Linked DNA regions of Daphnia pulex. The main gene of each other region encodes a partner of the protein of the gene in region 2 in a complex. Links are inferred from orthologs where the notes say so. Each region holds a gene or a part of one and is shown on either strand. Other genes may lie near its edges.

Region 1 (5,114 bases), on a different chromosome or scaffold from region 2:
AAAGAGAATACACAAGAAAAAAAAATCCCGATGAAAAAAACTGCTTGAGAAATCTTATTGAGTTTAAACTTACCATGATTACCGAATCATCGAAGGAGTCTAGGAATATTTCTCCACTATCGCGTGCGAATGCAGAAACCTTAACACCTCCAAATGCAACAATGGCGTTATCCAGGCTACTGAGCTGAAATAGCTTTAGCTTTGTGACTGAGTGCAGTACCCACGGCTGAAAAGTTCTTGTCCCTGCGAAAATAAATAACTTTTAAAACTGTCGGAAGCAAAATTTGTCTGATTCAAAATTTCACCTCAAATCAGCGTAAAGCTCTTCGGCCGAGTTTAGAACAACAGATTTAACAGAGCTACCATCAGAGCGAGGTGACTGGCCCGCATGTGATGAGGCTTGAAAATTTTCTCCTGGAAACTTGACTGTATCTAAATAACAATGAAACCACAAAATGCAAGTAAAATAATTGTTTTACTCAGAAGCTAACAATACTTTCTTACTATGTTTTATTCCATAGAATTCGTCGATAAGACCCTCATAGGTCAACTGAGTGACAAAAGGAGTTATCAAATCTACAGTCCAATCAATGATCATGAGAGTGTCGAACAACGGAGACATGGGGGGATCACAGTCTACCCCAATATCACGTCGCATTCGAGTCATCAATTCGAATAAGTTACGGGCATGGCGCCCCTTACCCACAACGTTGGGGAAAATGCCATATAAACTTTGGAGGGACATTAACCCATGAGCCATTTGGTGTAAGGAGCTGATTTCATTGTCAACATATAAATCCTGAGAATAAATTTGAAGAAGTTGATGACAAGCAATCCCTTTCAAAGTTTGGCTCATAAATAAATACCTTGAAAACATTATCGAGTTCCATTGAAATGACATCACTATCTAGTGGGAAAAAATCAACAGGCAGTTCATCAATAGAAGTAAGAGTTCCATACACTCCTTTGTCCTAAATGAAGTAATAATTATGTCAACAATTTCTTCTTCGCTGATTTAAGTAACTTTAACCAACCTTGAGCCGCTGTTCACATACTGCACTTTGTCGGGAGACAAAAATTAACTGATATTCCTTACTAGCAGAATGTCCTTGGCTTTCTTCGCTGAAATGTAAATCAACTTATTGTTGACTATTTAAAGTTAAAATATGTAGATTATTCATACCTGTGCAAGTTATCGGCAATAAAATCTATCAGCTCAACTTCAGGTCTTGTGATGAACAGTATATTTTTAACAGATATGGAAGGCAAGCGCCCAGGTTTTAACTGGAACATTTTTACAACATCTAGTTCCTTAAGAAAACTGTATTCTGCCACCAAACCAATGGGGCCAGTGAGTTGTTCATCCCAAAATATTGCCTAGCAAAATTGATGAATTTACGTACATTTCTTAAATGGAATAGCACACATCAAAATACCTTTGTTCCACTGAACTTCTCTAAAAGAGAAACAATATCCTGTAACAATAACAAAACTGTTGACGAAATTTATTTTTACTGAACAAGACATCAACAGACTGTCAACAGACAACCTAATGGATTTTGTGGTTGTCCTAAGTCACAAAAAGCTAATGACTAAATCCGCATAAAAATTAATAAAATTTAGTATTACCAAATGAATCGAAACTTACCTAAGCGCTGAGATAAATTACTGTAAGTGTACACAAAAAGTTTGAAGAAAATCGATGCAGTAGTTTAGTTTTCTATAAATTTATTCTGATTCTGAATTAAAGGTTCTGGAAGCCTGGCCCAGAACAGCGTACCTCCCCCACACCCCCCCCCCCTCCACACACACACACCCGCATTTACTTTAATGCCTTCTGGTAGTACAAGTACTACCCTCAGGGATAACCGTACCAACAAAACAGGGATGACGTGTAAACATCAAATGTGCAAGTGATGAAGAGAATCTATTTTTAGTTTGTTCGACGATGGCAACAACAACACACAAAAAAATGGGCGCCTCTGAGCTAACCAGGACGACAGCCTGGCTAGAGTTGCAACAAATGAAAACGAGTGAGTCGTTGGTCGATAATAATACAGTGGCAAGACTCTATCTGAATAACCACAACCACAGACGGGCGTGTGATACGTGACTAGCAAGCCAAATCAATGCATTCAAGATAAAAAAACAGCTGCAAAAAAACTTACCTTTTTTGTGTAGCTCAATTCACGACCGAATGGCTGCATAACAATCGATAGACATTACAACATGATCGATACGTAATCGTATCGGCCTTTCGTCGGCCGATATCTAAGTCACTATAGTATCTTTGAGGAAGGGGCTGGGTTTCCTTTTCCACCACAACAATTTCTTGTTTTCAATATTGAGCAATATCAGCCGGCTCAGTGTTTTTTTTTCTTTTTGAGCTGTCAATTCGCACATATTTTTTTCCACAGAAATGCCGGTAAGTTTGTTTATCAGATGTCGTATTTTTCGGATTTTTGAAAAGTGCAGAATACGTTGGTTTGTGTTGTGCCTGACAATTGTGTTGTTTCTGATTTCAACAGGCTTATCATTCCCAGTTTTTGAACCCACCCCAAGTCGTTGGGAATATGGCCATTTTGCCGTTGAAAACCCAGTTCCGAGGGCCAGCTCCCAAAGAAATGGGGGAGTCAGATGTCCTGGATGAGGCATTGTACTACTTCAAGGCAAATGTCTTCTTCCGCACATATGAAGTCAAAAGCGAAGCAGACAGACTCCTGATCTACCTTACACTCTACATCACAGAGTGCCTAAAGAAGCTCCAAAAGTGTTCAAACAAGAATACAGCTCAGAACGAGATGTATACCTTGGCAATATCAAAGTTTGACATTCCTGGGGAACCTGGTTTCCCGCTCAACTCTGTATATGCTAAACCTACCAGCCAGCATGAAGCAGGTAGAGTAGCAGTTGTAAAAACATGCTTTTTCTCATCTGATAACATTTCTGTTGCTTTTTAAATAGATTTGTTGAGGCAGTATCTGACGCAAGCCAGGCAAGAGATGGGTTTAAGACTGGTAGATAAAGTTTTCTGCACAGAAGATGGAAAGCCTTCCAAATTTTGGCTCTGCTTTGCTAAAAAGAAGTTCATGGACAAGTCATTATCAGCTCCTGGGATGTAAGAAGTCATTGCGTTTATCCTTACGTTTATCTTTCCGTTAATTACGTGCAACATGGGTTGATCAAATAAATCTAATTTGTTCAAGTTTTATTTTTAGCATTAATATTATTGCCTGTACCAATAAGAAAAAAACACAACAACGTCTGGAACTATATGGCTGTATTGGCCCATCAAATAATAAAAAAATACAGTATTTGCGAAGAAAATGAGAATGCATCGCTTTGAATAGCTGGGTTTGGTCTTCGCACTATATGAATAAAGGGACCATATTCGGCATGTATCGAATGGCCGAGAAGAACAGTTTTTTATTAGATTCATAGTTCAGTGTTTGCAGCTGGACGTTTCGGCTGGAATGATTGGAGAATGTTGACTCGTCTCTCCATTTCGTCTTTCTTTTCTTTTGCCAATTTTCCTTTGCGCAGTGTGTCCACTCGAGATAATTCCGATTGAAGGAAATCGTTGCCTTTCTCCAGCATTTTGCGCATAACCTTGACGTATACTTCAGCTGATTTCCGTTCGCTGCCAAGTGAAACCTTGTCCCATTCATCCTCCGATTGGCGTAAGATTTCCTTCCGGTCGGAAGGGCTTGAAGCAGCTACAAACCGGTTTGCTAGTCCGTCAAATACTTCCAAACATCCCGGTAAGCCGATCCACAAACCACTCGTGGAACTTACGAATCGTTGCATCATATCGAGTTTGAATTCTCCCTGCACAGAAATCAGATCCATGTCATTGATGTACTTGCTTTAACAATTTTTTATTGGGTACCTGGTATCGGATTGGCTCAGCCTTTCCTTCTGTGAACAACAACATCACAGGGTACTCTTCTTTGACAATCTTGTATCGTTCAGCTATGTCTACATTTTCTTTATCTCCATAATCTTTTACTCCTACTTCTGCAACTAGGATGTCCGGATTGGAAGACAGGGTGGAAGACAATTTCCCGAATTGTTCATGTTTTTCACCGTAAGGATATGCAACATCAATCTTCACAATGGCAGCTTTGAATTTAGATACAACCTGGGTAATCAAAGCAATTTCAATAATAATATGTTAAATAATGCTTAATTTGTTGGCTGATTTAACATGTTGAATAACAATATCAAAGAAAAACCTGTTTAAAATTTAAAATCAATTTACACAAAGGCATTAAAATATAAAAGGTAAGCTTATAAATATTAACATGCCTTCTCAAAAGAGTAAGAGTCCAGTTGAACACAGCCTTGACAGTTATTAGATGATGCACTGGTAAAGGACAGACAGCTGATCAACAAAAATAGATAAAAAGGACTAGGAGACATAATGCACTTGATTGGAAGGAACGCTGGTAATAATACTGAATAATCAGTAATGCACTCTCGTCTGATATAACTGTACTGATACCGTGATAACTGATAAAACCGTATAACTCAAACGACTTAACAAAAGTCAATATTCTGGATTTTTCTTTTACACGTTTTCCAATTCGAAGATGACAGCTCACAATGTTGCCACGTTGGTGCACACGTCAACATAAAATGTTTACGTTGATTTGAACGCCACGACAGAACAGATTCGGCGGGAATTTAACGCTCAATTTATAGTAATTTATAGCCTTATAGGTAGGAAGGGAGGAATCATTTAAAAGTAATTTTATCTATAGATGATTACGTAATTTCACTTTTCAAATCTGAGCAGACAACTAATTCTAGAATAGGCTCCTAGTGTCACCTTATACCAATCCTATTACGAAGTTAAGAAGAAGAAACCTACAACAGGCATTAGCCAATCGTTACGTGGCGCTAAATTGATAGACGACTAATTAAGTAGTAAGCGTTGGATGGTTCCAATAAAATTGTTGTTGCGGATGTTGATAGTCTGCTCCATTCGTAACAAAATAAGCCACTTAAAGTTCATGATGCTGGAAAGATTGCGATGCCGAAAGATTAGCCTGTGCCAATTAATGACGACAGTTAAGTATGGCTAGACTAGAAGACAGCTTGTCTGAGTCAGA
Region 2 (6,920 bases):
CAAAGATTGGCAGCAGATTGCAAATGGATATTCCAAAATCTTAGTGCCTCATAAAGTATCACCCCTGCAATAGATAGTTTTAAATTAGAAACTTCCTTGGCATGTGTAAAAATTCAAATGTGACTGAATTTTCAAAAATACATTGACAAACTGGCGCTATACCAATGTAGTTGAATTGGTTTTCTAATTATTTATTTACACCTGAGTCTTCAATGAAGAATTGAAGATCCATAGCAATCTTAATGTCTTACCACTACTATATTTTTCTCAGTGTTTAAGAATTAATGGGATCAACTTTGGGTTCAGGGAAGTTGAAAGTGGGGAACTTGGTCATATCGGCTCCATCAGCTCCACCATAAACACGGCGAACTCTGTCCAGCTCAGTTGCAATATCTTTCTGGATAGCAGGAGATGGGTCGACCAATTTTCCTCCGGCAGCTCTAAAGAACACCAATAATTAACAGATGGTAACAGAAATGATAAAATCTAATACATACTTGCTCTTGACTTTGTACTCATTCAGTTTGTCCAAAAAGAGTTTCTGAATGGGATCAACTGCTTTATTAGCAACAACTGCAGATATTCCAAACTGCCTCTGCAGGACTGTTCCTTGACGAACAGCTAGCCGGGTTCGAGTCGCAAACATGTTGATGACCTGAGAGTATAGATCATTTAGCCTTCACAAATATTTGGAAACTACAAACAGATCTCACAACAAATTAATCGGTAATGCAATACAAAGTTTAACAAGAAAGGAGACGCACAGTAAAATATATTTACCTATGCAAGTTGCTCACAGATGCAATCCAAAATGTCTTCCGTCGTCTACACTCAGTCTACTTTTCTCATTCACGAAAATGGCAGGATAGCCGCTTACCAATAAATCCCTAAACACTCAAAGAAAACGGAAAGGAAATATTTTAAGGAACATACCAGATGCAACATGAAAATTTTCCAAATACTTTACATATTAAAACTTTGAATTATCAATGAATTACATAATCTATATATTAATGTAATTTAAAATAAATTATGACGATTTGCAATTGTTTACCTTTAGATTTAGGCAATCACCAGCAGCCGACTAGCCGATCAGTACTAACAGCTGACTAACACACACCTAAAAATCGCCTGAAAATCGCTTCGTACATAACAACGTAGTGTATGTATTTCATTCAAACGATTGGTAAATATTTAATACCGAAGGGATATTTCAATAAATCAATTTCCATTATGGCGAAAGAATTCAAAAATTGGCAGGAAGCCAAAGGTATAATTAGAATTTGAAGAAGGCTGTGGTTGCTTTATCATGTAATTACATTCTTTACAGAGTACTTTGAAAAAAGCACTGCAACTCGAAATCAACATTGTGTTTCAGTGAAAGAGATTCCAACTTGGGAAGAGACATCAAAAGAAATTCCCCATTCTACATCAGATGGAAACAATACTGATTTAAAACCCAATTTATCAATCAATTCTAAAGTTTCTCTTTGGAAAGGGGATATAACTCAACTAGAAGTTGGAGCGATTGTCAATGCAGCCAATAGCAGGTTGGCTGGTGGTGGTGGAGGTGAAATTTAATAAAGAATATTGAAAATTTCTAAATTGTTTATCAATGTTTTGTGTTACCTCAACAGTTGATGGAGCAATTCATAAAGCAGCTGGTCCTTATCTTCTTGAAGAATGTCAATCTATCAAAGGTGGTTGTCAAACAGGGGATGCTAAACTGACAGGAGGATACAAACTACCTGCAAAGTGTAAATTTTTCTCTAGAAAAAGTATGAATGATATCCTGTTTCTATACAGTATTTATGTTTCCAGATGTGATTCAGACTGTTGGACCTATGGACCAAGACTCTAACTTGCTGTCTGATTGTTATTCTAATAGTCTTAAACTTGCGAATAAAAATGAACTAAAAACAATAGTAAGTCATGATTTTACATTCTAGTACCTTTTAGGGATTCCATTTCTTCATCTTCAAAATTTTAATTAGGTATTTCCCTGCATTTCAACTGGGGTTTATGGTTACCCCAATAGAGATGCAGCTGCAGTAGCATTGTTAACAACAAGAAAATTTCTTGAAAGTGATGAATCAACATTGGAAAGAGTGATATTCTGTGTGTTTTTAGATAAAGATCTAAAAGTATATCAAGAATTGCTACCTAAATATTTTTCAGTAAAGGCTGTTTTGTGATCTGATTTGATAACATGAAAAATTTTGAAAATTTGGTAATGTACAACATGTGTACAGCATGAACAGGCTTGGAATAAAAGAATGGCAAAAAATCTTTGAAATATCCTTTTTAAATTTGAATGCATCATCAAGTTCTTGCTTTGCCAAGGAATTTACTCAATTTAGTTTCCTCAGCCTTCCTATGATTTTGGCCAGTTTGGTTTCATGTTCTTTAAAGAAGATGTTCTAGTGTTGCATGCTTCAATGGATAATATTCAGTGTTGGTAAGAGTATTTGACTTTAGTATGCATATACAATTCATTCGTTTAATTTATTTAATTCTTTTTTGTCTGTTATTGAACATTTTGAATTTCCCGGTTGATTAACGGCGTTGCCAAAATTCTTCAGATAAATCATTGCATCAAAATAATGTAGTTCACAAATTAATTTAAAATCTATACTTTACAATTTCAAAATTTTTTTTAAGAAACTTTATCTCAAATATTTTATAACGATTCGAGATAGTCATTTAAAACCAGAGTTAACTGATTAACCAGCTGGATTAACCAATGATGTTAAGCAATCGGTTGCCGTGGCAACTCCCAACCCCCATGAGCTGCTATCGTCTGGCTCCGACGGGAAGTAGTTTTGGTTTTAGGGCGCTGTCAAATTGTGTGTCGTATTGTTCACGAATTGAGATTATCAATATAAAATCAACTATTAACAAACTTTGAGATGGATAGTCAAGGAAGAAAAGTATTAGTTTGTGATAATGGAACAGGGGTGAGTTATTTTTTTCTTTTGAAATATTTATTAATGTTGTTTTGCCGGCCATGTAGCAAACTAGCAACTCACCTTTATCAATGTTGGATAGTTTGTCAAAGTTGGATATGCAGGATCAAACTTTCCAGCACATATCTTCCCATCTTTGGTTGGACGACCTATCATTCGCGCTGCCAACAAAATTGGTGACATCGAAGTGAAGGTATGATAAAATTCTTTTCTTTCAAGCAGTTTCGATCTTACTGTCCATTTCCATGGTTTCGACATCACACAAAACTTTCTAGGGTTATCAAATTAAGGTGACATTCCAAGGATAAGTACAGAGGGAATCTCACATGTTTTGCATTTAAAAAAATCTGTGTCATGTTCTTATAACACAGATATAGTTTAAAAACCTATAAAGTCATAACAGTGATAGTAAAAAACCAACTTGTGCCGTCCTATAACATGAATGTCTTTGTGGAGTTTTGATTTTGATTGTAAAAAAAGGTTTTGTTATTTTCTAATGAACTGAATCATGATTTTGGCTTAATTGCTTGCCTTTCAATCAGGGATTTGCTCACATATCTGTAAGTATTGAGCACTTTATGGTGTGATATTGTTTGTTGGAATTTTGCATTGATGTTTAGTTGCATGTAACTTAGTGTTCTTTTTAATTGAATCTAAATTAATGAAGACTTTTATCAACAGGATTTAATGGTCGGAGATGACGCGAGTAAACTTCGCTCAATGCTTGAAGTGAACTACCCTATGGAAAACGGAATCGTTAGGTATATATCGATACATTTATTAAATTTGAACTGGTGTTTATAAATCTGCTTGTTTGTGTTCCTTAGGAATTGGGAAGACATGTGTCATGTGTGGGATTACACTTTTGGCCCTGAGAAAATGAACATTGACCCTCACCAATGTAAGGTCTTGCTAACAGAGCCTCCGATGAACCCTTTGAAGAATCGCGAGAAAATGATTGAGGTAAATGTTTTTAATTGTCACCATGTTTCAATGGTGGTGGTGGAAATGGGTGTGTAAAAATTCGAATCTTTGTGCCGTTTGTTACAGGTCATGTTCGAAAAATATGGATTTGCCGGAACCTACGTGGCCATCCAAGCAGTTCTAACACTTTACGCACAGGGTCTGCTGACGGGAGTTGTTGTCGATTCTGGAGACGGTGTCACTCACATTTGTCCTGTGTACGAAGGGTTTGCAATGCCTCACTTAACCAGACGTCTTGACATTGCCGGAAGAGATATTACCCGATATCTCATCAAGGTAGAATCAATGATCCATCCCGCAATAGTTTGGCATGAATTCAGTAATATTCCTCTTTATAGCTCTTGCTGCTGAGAGGCTACGCATTCAATCATACGGCAGACTTTGAAACTGTTCGCCAGTTGAAAGAAAAACTTTGTTATATTGGCTATAACATTGAAACGGAACAAAAACTGGCTCTCGAAACAACCGTTTTAGTCGAATCATACACAGTAAGTTTCCCTTTATTCTACCTTCGAGTCGCTGTGGCCATGGCATATTTAAAAACCAAAAAATTCGATTTCTAAAAAAGCTTCCAGATGGGCGCGTCATCAAAGTGGGTGGTGAACGGTTCGAAGCCCCTGAAGCGCTTTTCCAGCCTCACTTGATCAACGTTGAAGGGTCAGGAATCGCCGAGCTAGTCTTCTCGACTATCCAAGCGGCCGACATCGATGTCCGCCCGTCGCTATACAAACACATCGTCCTTTCAGGCGGTTCAACCATGTATCCCGGACTTCCGTCTAGGCTCGAACGGGAAATCAAACAGCTGTACCTTGAACGAGTTCTTAAAGGCGACACGGAGAAACTTACGGTACAACGATGAAATTTTGTGTTCTAGACGTACATTTTACTTACTACTCTTTTCTTGGCACGCAGAAATTCAAAATTCGTATTGAAGATCCTCCTCGCCGTAAAGACATGGTTTTCATTGGTGGTGCCGTATTGGCCGATGTCATGAAAGACAAAGAATCTTTCTGGATGTCGAGGGAAGAGTACAATGAGCGTGGCATCCGCGTGCTGGACAAACTGGTCAACCGCTCCTAACGCGCAATTTTAAACGCTCGTTCCTCTTTTCCGATTCCCATCGAAGGTCATGTTATTACTAATCAGATGTCCATTTTTTTTTTTCATGTTGCTGGGTTCACATTCCCGCCCTCCCTAATTTTTGTTGACCCCCAAATTCTGGCTGAATAAACAAAAATAGCCTCTGTAATTATAGCAACTAATCAGGCGAGAGAAGAAAACTCAAGCAATTTTATTATTGCACATAGGGGGAAAGTATGGCCGTGGTAGCAGATAATTTCAGAGAGGAGGACATATTTAACATTCCCAAGGCAACAACAGGAGAAAGAAAAAAAAACGAAGGGAAATACCTTTTTAAAAGGTTACACTGGGCACGACCATGAAGCCATAGTTTAAAATGGTTAACAACGTCATTATTTAAAAAAAAAAAACAGCCGCAAGAAATGCACACAAGGATATGTGAATTCTCGGATAAGGCACAGGCGTAGTATAGGAGAATGAATGTAGTTTTTTTTTTCCGTTGACTTCTTGCATTTTCTTTAACACAAAGAAGATAAGAAGGCGGCCATGACTACGATTTGACATTTAAACAACAATTCTTTTCTTATTTTTTTCCGAAGCTCTACCTTTTAGTCTTTGCGCAGGGCGATGAGAAGGAGAACAAACAATTTGAAACGGATAAATACATGTACGTCATGAAATCATTTAGTTGGTCCCGATTTGTTGTCGTTTGACACCGAAAAAGGAGAAACATACAGAAAAGAGGCAGTAGATAATAGTATACAAAAAAGGATGGCACTTGGTAGTAAATTTATAGGTGGTTTGCGCCTGTCTTATATGATGTTATTTACCGGTAATTCTGCCCAGAGAGGTTATTATCTCCGCCGCCGTAAGAGCCCCGCTGCTGGATCAAATTTACTTGACTGTTGACGTACGACGGAGGGCCTTCGCCGCTGTTGTTGTTGTAATTACCGGCAGACGTTTCGGAAGTGACGTCATAAGTTGACGAATGGTGATGATGATGATTGCCGGCCATGGCGGCAGATTCAGAACTGGATCTGAGCATTCCAAATTAAATTTCGGTAGATTATTTCAACTGGTTTTCACAATCAAATCAGGAGGCATTCTTTGTGTACCTGTTACAGTCGTACATCGGTCCATAATTGGAAGAGGATAGGCCGCCCGACATGACGTAAGCCTGATCCGAAGGAACAACAACCTGATGATCGAACGAGACAACTGATTCACCACCTCGAGTTCCTACCTGTGAAGCGGTACCAGTGCCGGGATCGTGTTGTATGAAGTCGGAAGAACAACTGGTTGGAGTTGGACGGTGATTTCCGGCGGCTAAATTGAAATGAGCAACAACAAGACAGAAAAAAAAAAAAACAGTTGAAAAACCAAATAAGAACCACGTACGATAGACGACGGCAAAAGAAAAAGTTTAGACTGGGTCAAACTCACCTGTTTTTAAACAAGTGGGCGAGTGCATGGCCAGCACATCCATCAAACGGCGCTTTTCCGCCTCCAGCCTTTGGATTTCTGAACGAAAGTTAACGTTTTGATCCTCGAGCGCGTCCGATTCCTGCATCAAAATGCCAGTTCGCTCTTTTTTGCGGTTTCGACATTTGGTAGCGGCTACTTTGTTCCGCTCACGCCTTCTCCGACGACGTTCTTCATCTTCTGTTGTCAGCTGTCCCATCCGCACGAAACACGGAGATTAACGAGAAAGTTACCAGCTGCTGTTCGACGCGCAAAAAAGTAAACGAAAACTCGGAAAATTCAGAAATACCTCATCTTTGAGTGGCATGTGGCCGTGCTGATCCGACTCGAGCGACCCTCGGCCGGAAGCCAAACGCTTGCTCTGGATCGTCAGTTTGAGTCCCTCCTTGATCAAATACGTTCGAGTGT
Region 3 (5,528 bases), on a different chromosome or scaffold from region 2:
CCTCCATTTCTGCAGACGCATTTTGCCATTTTCCTTGTAGCATCTTGTAGTTTTAACGTACACTTTCCATCAAGCGTAACAAAAATTTTCGTTCTGAAGATATGAAGTGTAAAGATCCACATCAACAAAACTAGTACGACATTGTTATTAAATTTGAAGACTGAGAAAGTTATATTTTAATTTTTCTTGCTTTTGTTCGTAGAAAGTGCTGTTAATAAACGGTGAGAAAAACGCGTTTAAAAATGAGCATTTTAAATTTAGATTGCATATTTTCACGAATTAAAATATATCTTTGTATTTAGGACTTTTGGTAGTATGTTATCGAAATTAATCAGAGAAGAACCAACAAGTTTGATGTTAAATACCAAACTATGCCTCATTTCAATGACACATTCGAATACGTTTTTGTCTAGTACGGTATTCTTCAAAAATCAGCCAACTTGTCGGATCCATTTTCAGACTTCAGAAAGACCCGCGAGCCTTATTAAGATTTATCTGGAATGTATTTACCTGAATCGTTTCGGTCTGCGTGCTACAAGAGTTTCAGTAAATCAACCAGAGACGAACTTTGTTGGTTTTATGGAGAGTGTTGAATCATATTCGTCGGTTCAGCAATTTAGTTTGTTGATTCCTTTCAATCGCTTAGCTTCTAAATTGCGTGATATTTGTATCATTTTTGAAGTCCACGTAATTGGAGAGTCATCTTTTTGTTTACAGTTAACCGATTCACAATGGAAAAAACAGATTATTGAATCCATGAATGGGCCATTTACGGACCTCGTGTTAACGGTTAGAGGTCATAAGCTTCCAGTCCACAAATCAGTTTTGGCCGCTCGCTGCCCTGCTTTGACGGCAAAAATAAAAGATGCTGCAGTTGAACAACTTATTTTGGATGAAGATCCTGTTACTTTCCGAAGATTTCTTCATTTTCTCTACACTGGTCTACTAGATGACTGTGATTATTATCTCATAGATATGAAAACGTATGCAAAGAAATACTTCGTAGATGAAATGCTTCCTAAATTTACCGCAAATGGAACAATGGAAAAAATGGTCACGAAGTATTCTTATATTTAATTCATTTAAATTTCATAAACCATAAATTGATATATTTTTAGATGTGAAGCTGACGTGAACTCACAATTAACGAAAGGAGGTGTCGTAATGCAATATTCATGGACGTTGAAAAAGTTGCCAACTTTGAATCGCACAACTTTCTCTAATAAATCAAAGGACGGTATGTGGTTCGGCGTTGGTATTCAGTGTGTACGTATCATCCCATATACAAATTGTAGCGAGTTCGACCTATACTTTTTTACTGGTCGAAACAGTCGAGTGGTTGGTGTCTCATACTTCAACAGATGGGATCCCTGTTCACAGAAGAAACACAACATGGATCTTAATAAAAATCTGGTCTTCACAAGCAATTTCTCCGTTGCAAATGGATACAAATGTTACCAGTTCACGTTCTGTGTGACGATCGAACAAGCGGATAATGAGGAATATCGATACGAATTGCAGGACAGTCTTTGCCCAACTCAGCTTTGGCGTTCCGCTTTGGATGGCATGACCACCGATGTTCAGTTGCTCGTCTCTGGGCGTATCTTTCATGCCCATCGATGGATTTTGGCCGCCCGGAGCCCAGTTTTTGCCGCAATGTTTTCCCACGACATGCTCGAGGCGAATACTGGGTGTGTTGACATCAGCGACATTACACCAAGCATATTCGAACAAATTTTGTTCTTTATTTATAATGGCCGCATACTCGACTCTACCCCTAATTTACTTCTATTGGAGGCAGCTGATAAATACCAAATAGAAACGTTGGTTTTCATTTGTCGGGCTTCTTCATCTCCAATGGAAAAGGACAGTTGATATGGTGATATGTGCTGCATCAACAAATCAGTGCAACAAATTAGTGCAATCGTCAACAAATTAGTGCAATCGTTACTTTGATTCTATGTTTGTTAACCTATTATTTCTCAAAATAAAACAAATATACCGGCATCGACTGCACGTAGCGGATATCTATCTGCATATATCATTTCTAACGCTCCCTTAAAAAAACACACAAAACAAAAGTTTAGTTATAGACTTATCTTCAATTCTACCTATACAAGTAATATATAACAAACTAACAACAAGTCTTAGATCAAAGATATTTACGAAACCCCTAAGGACTAAAACTTGTTTATATTCGGCTTGATTTGTGATCTGTGATCTCACGGTAAATTTCTTGAATAAAGGAAATTGATTGATTGATTTTTTTGCTTTATTTAATACGGGCCCTCTACTGGCAGCAGATTGAACTGTTTCCATTCTTCGTCGGTTCCCATGTTATCTTAAAAAATTGCGGTTTTTGACAGATCCGGCCCACCCCACTGAAAAAAGCCAAAGAAAGCACTAAATTGAGTAGGGCCTAAATAGTGTCCGTGGAACATATTCTTGAACTATCTTAAGATTCTACGCTTTTCAGCTGTGCAAATTGCAAAAAATGGTTAGTTTGCTCTTAAACTTCTGTGTTGTGATTCAAACCCAGCTAATCCAAAAAGAACTTTGAAAATATTATGTTTTGAACTCATCAGACAAAAACACATTTCAAACACTTTACCACACCCTCTTCCTTTTATCATTCCTATCGTCTTATGTGTACACGTATAATTAATATTTTGTCATTTTTAGTCAGCAACTTTGAGGCCTTACTTGTCCGCAGTTAGAAGTACACTGGAAGCTGCAATGTGTTTGGAAAACTTTTCTTCCCAAGTTGTTGAAAGACACAATAAACCTGAAGTGGAAGTCAGGTAAGGTTAAATGAGTGAAAAAATTGAGTAAACATTAATAAATACTATTTTGAAACATAGAACAAGCAAGGAATTATTACTGAATCCAGTTGTTATTTCAAGAAATGAGAAAGAAAAAGTCTTGATAGAAGCCTCTATTAATTCTGTTCGGATTAGCATTTCTATCAAACAGGCTGATGAAATTGAAAAAATTCTTTGCCACAAATTTATGAGGTTCATGATGATGCGAGCAGAAAATTTTGTTGTTTTGAGACGAAAGCCTGTTGAGGTAAACTCTTTTTAACATATTCTAAAATATGTTGTTAAACTCTTTTTAAAATATTCTAAAATATGTTGTTAAGGTAAACTCTTTTTAAAATATTCTAAAATATGTTGTTATACATTGATAATTTCTCTAGGGTTATGACATAAGTTTCTTGATAACTAATTTTCATACTGAAGCCATGTACAAACATAAATTAGTGGATTTTGTCATCCACTTCATGGAAGAGATAGACAAAGAAATTAGCGAAATGAAATTGGCCGTCAACGCACGAGCCCGTGTGTGCGCTGAGGAGTTTTTAAAGCGGGTGTGTTTTACTGTCAATTTTTTCATCAGTTATTACCGACTAACATTTCCCATTTTTTAATAGTTTTAATTCGAGAATTTATTGGATAACTGGAAGAAAATTGAGACCAGATAATTCCCAAGTTTATTTGCATAAAAACCTGTTTCCAAGCCAAGCTAATTCAGTAAAATGATCCGACTTGTGTACAATCAGATAACTCCTAGTTTGAGTTCATGCACAAGCTCAAAAAATAATAAATGAAAATATTACAGAAAACTATATTGTATTTAGTCAAACTGGAGTGTGCATATTTCTTGATAATATCTACTTGGAACAATATCAGTGCTCCGCAATTAGATAGAAGGAGCTAACCAGTTCAAAAACTTCAAAGCCATTTCAAATCCTAAGAAGCAAACGGCATTTGCAGGGAAGGCTCTTTAAAGAAAAATGGACGTTAAAAAATGTTATCAAAAATTCTTATTTAATTAAATATGTCCCTATTACCTAAGAAACACTGGAACTGCTCCTCTATAGAGAGCTCGAACACCTTCTTCGCGCATCAACACTTTAAAGACGTCACGCACTCCATTAGGATACGTTCCTTCGGGAGCTTCAAGTGGGAAAATAATCGAAGATATAAAGTTATCATATTACCTTTCACTTAACTCATTTATTTAATAGCCTAATATCTGATTCTATTAAAAAATATTACCTGTTTGTAGTCTACTCTTCAGTACATCCGGTGGGATGGCAATAATCCAGTTGGCGATTCCTGCCATTCCACCGGCAAACATTGTCCGAATTGGGCTTAATTTCCCGTCGGAGTTTTCTGGTGCAAGTGCAACCTGGAGCCATTCATAGGTCATAAAATAGATCCCGCTGGCTGGAACATCTACCAAATCGAAAGAGAGTTCATCTGTAGTTGCAGAAATTTTCTTCTTGAACTATAGTTGAGTCAACCTTACCTCTGAGCAGTGTAGCTCCTGTTCCCCGATAGATACTCCGTATACCTCCTTGTTTATATAACTGCCGAATACAGTCAATTGGTCCTGCATACTTTGCAGGGCCAGTACTGGCTTGTTGAACCTACAAGCATTGGGTGAGAATTGATATAGTCTTCCTTAATTTTCACCACTTGCAAATCTACTACCTGAAGAAGACATTTAATTCTCTCACCAGGAGCCATGATGCTTTAAGATTGGAAAAAATAATGATTATTGATAGACAATGCTGTTAAAGGTTAAGTATAGTATTCGGTATTCCTACATTGTTGTGCCAATTGCAGAAAATGCTCCTGCATTAAAAAGCTGGAGTAATGATAGCCTTTCATTGGGATGGCTTTGTTGAAGCTTTTTTCCAATTCCAAAGCCTAGAAAACTTATGGCAAAAATAGGTGCAACTCCAGTAATTGGGGCAGCCATACCTTGATGAATAAGAATTTCAGATGATAGTTCAAATTGTCTAATATAATTACACACACTGGAAAAGACCCCAATATATCAAAATATATTCACCTTTATAGAGACCTCGAAATCCTTCATGCTTGATTGTTTTTGTCAAGCAGTCCCATGTTCCACTATACAGAGGAGCCTGTCCAGGTATGATAGGCATTGTTTGAAGTCGAACCTAAAGCAAAATGTTTTTAAAATCAATAAATATCAAGAAGAAGAACGTTCACATCATATACCTTTAAAGTATCAAACGGGTGGCCAACAAATATGGTACAAATACCGCCAAAACCACCGGCAAAAAAATTTTTGATTGGGCTGACTTTATTCACTTCGCCCATTTTATATTTTTTTCTAGTACTAGAACCTCTTGCAATTATTTAGACAAGAAAGAAATAACAAAGTGAAAAAACAGGGATGTGACTTTTAGTGATTGTAATTGTAAATAACTAGTGAAAGAGGAACTGGTTCTTCCAGTCTTTACAGCGCTTCACAGATAGAAACAAGCATGCTTGTAAGTTGTAGCAGCCGAAGCCCGAAAGAGCTGATATCCTATTGCCCCTTTAGGCAAAGTCAGATAACAACATTTCATTGGCCACTACGTTGATCGATACAAAATCTGCAAATTATCACTCGTTTAGACAAATTTAGATTTCATACCATCAATTAAAGTTAACTACTTCATCAAATAAATTTTCTTTCGCAATCGCGAAAAAAAAAATAATAATCGC

Evidence for each region. Proteins that work in one complex are often made in the same cells at the same time.
Region 1: actin-related protein 2 (region 2) and actin-related protein 2/3 complex subunit 3-like share a complex: the UniProt entries of both Homo sapiens proteins name them as parts of the arp2/3 complex. The link is inferred for Daphnia pulex from reciprocal best matches to the Homo sapiens genes ACTR2 and ARPC3.
Region 3: the proteins of actin-related protein 2 (region 2) and actin-related protein 2/3 complex subunit 4 are in contact, whole or in part, in a cryo-EM structure (PDB 6YW6), measured with the Homo sapiens proteins. The link is inferred for Daphnia pulex from reciprocal best matches to the Homo sapiens genes ACTR2 and ARPC4. Residues at the interface, in NP_005713.1 of Homo sapiens: Tyr222, Val223, Tyr225, Gln229, Glu230, Lys232, Leu233, Ala234, Leu235, Glu236, Thr237, Thr238, Val239, Lys253, Thr308, Met309, Tyr310, Pro311, Gly312, Pro314, Ser315, Asp346; in NP_005709.1 of Homo sapiens: Val29, Val30, Glu31, Arg32, His33, Lys35, Pro36, Glu39, Val40, Ala98, Glu99, Asn100, Phe102, Ile103, Leu104, Arg105, Arg106, Lys107, Leu117, Thr119.

Annotation. Positions count from the first base shown.
Region 1 is NC_060026.1:13,599,244-13,604,357, reverse strand, and holds actin-related protein 2/3 complex subunit 3-like, read left to right. Parts: upstream 1-2,154; 5' UTR 2,155-2,419; coding exon 2,420-2,425; intron 2,426-2,528; coding exon 2,529-2,898; intron 2,899-2,964; coding exon 2,965-3,122; 3' UTR 3,123-3,211; downstream 3,212-5,114. Other genes in the region: vacuolar protein sorting-associated protein 33A-like, read right to left, coding at 177-243, 306-432, 505-799, 867-971, 1,035-1,122, 1,184-1,293; endoplasmic reticulum resident protein 29-like, read right to left, coding at 3,436-3,828, 3,890-4,141, 4,309-4,422. UniProt on the Homo sapiens protein: Component of the Arp2/3 complex, a multiprotein complex that mediates actin polymerization upon stimulation by nucleation-promoting factor (NPF).
Region 2 is NC_060020.1:5,357,291-5,364,210, reverse strand, and holds actin-related protein 2, read left to right. Parts: upstream 1-2,764; 5' UTR 2,765-2,909; coding exon 2,910-2,957; intron 2,958-3,048; coding exon 3,049-3,159; intron 3,160-3,647; coding exon 3,648-3,727; intron 3,728-3,793; coding exon 3,794-3,929; intron 3,930-4,016; coding exon 4,017-4,226; intron 4,227-4,288; coding exon 4,289-4,438; intron 4,439-4,518; coding exon 4,519-4,797; intron 4,798-4,862; coding exon 4,863-5,030; 3' UTR 5,031-5,199; downstream 5,200-6,920. Other genes in the region: ATP synthase-coupling factor 6, mitochondrial-like, read right to left, coding at 275-440, 498-646; macro domain-containing protein CT2219-like, read left to right, coding at 1,165-1,273, 1,331-1,570, 1,638-1,757, 1,822-1,925, 1,995-2,195; activating transcription factor 3-like, read right to left, coding at 5,857-6,067, 6,146-6,356, 6,474-6,711, 6,802-6,920. UniProt on the Homo sapiens protein: ATP-binding component of the Arp2/3 complex, a multiprotein complex that mediates actin polymerization upon stimulation by nucleation-promoting factor (NPF).
Region 3 is NC_060028.1:5,630,852-5,636,379, forward strand, and holds actin-related protein 2/3 complex subunit 4, read left to right. Parts: upstream 1-2,322; 5' UTR 2,323-2,494; coding exon 2,495-2,497; intron 2,498-2,682; coding exon 2,683-2,801; intron 2,802-2,861; coding exon 2,862-3,069; intron 3,070-3,199; coding exon 3,200-3,370; intron 3,371-3,433; coding exon 3,434-3,439; 3' UTR 3,440-3,625; downstream 3,626-5,528. Other genes in the region: uncharacterized protein LOC124209792, read left to right, coding at 316-1,061, 1,119-1,875; mitochondrial carnitine/acylcarnitine carrier protein-like, read right to left, coding at 3,703-3,784, 3,854-3,959, 4,062-4,241, 4,315-4,435, 4,500-4,539, 4,616-4,772, 4,864-4,975, 5,037-5,138. UniProt on the Homo sapiens protein: Actin-binding component of the Arp2/3 complex, a multiprotein complex that mediates actin polymerization upon stimulation by nucleation-promoting factor (NPF).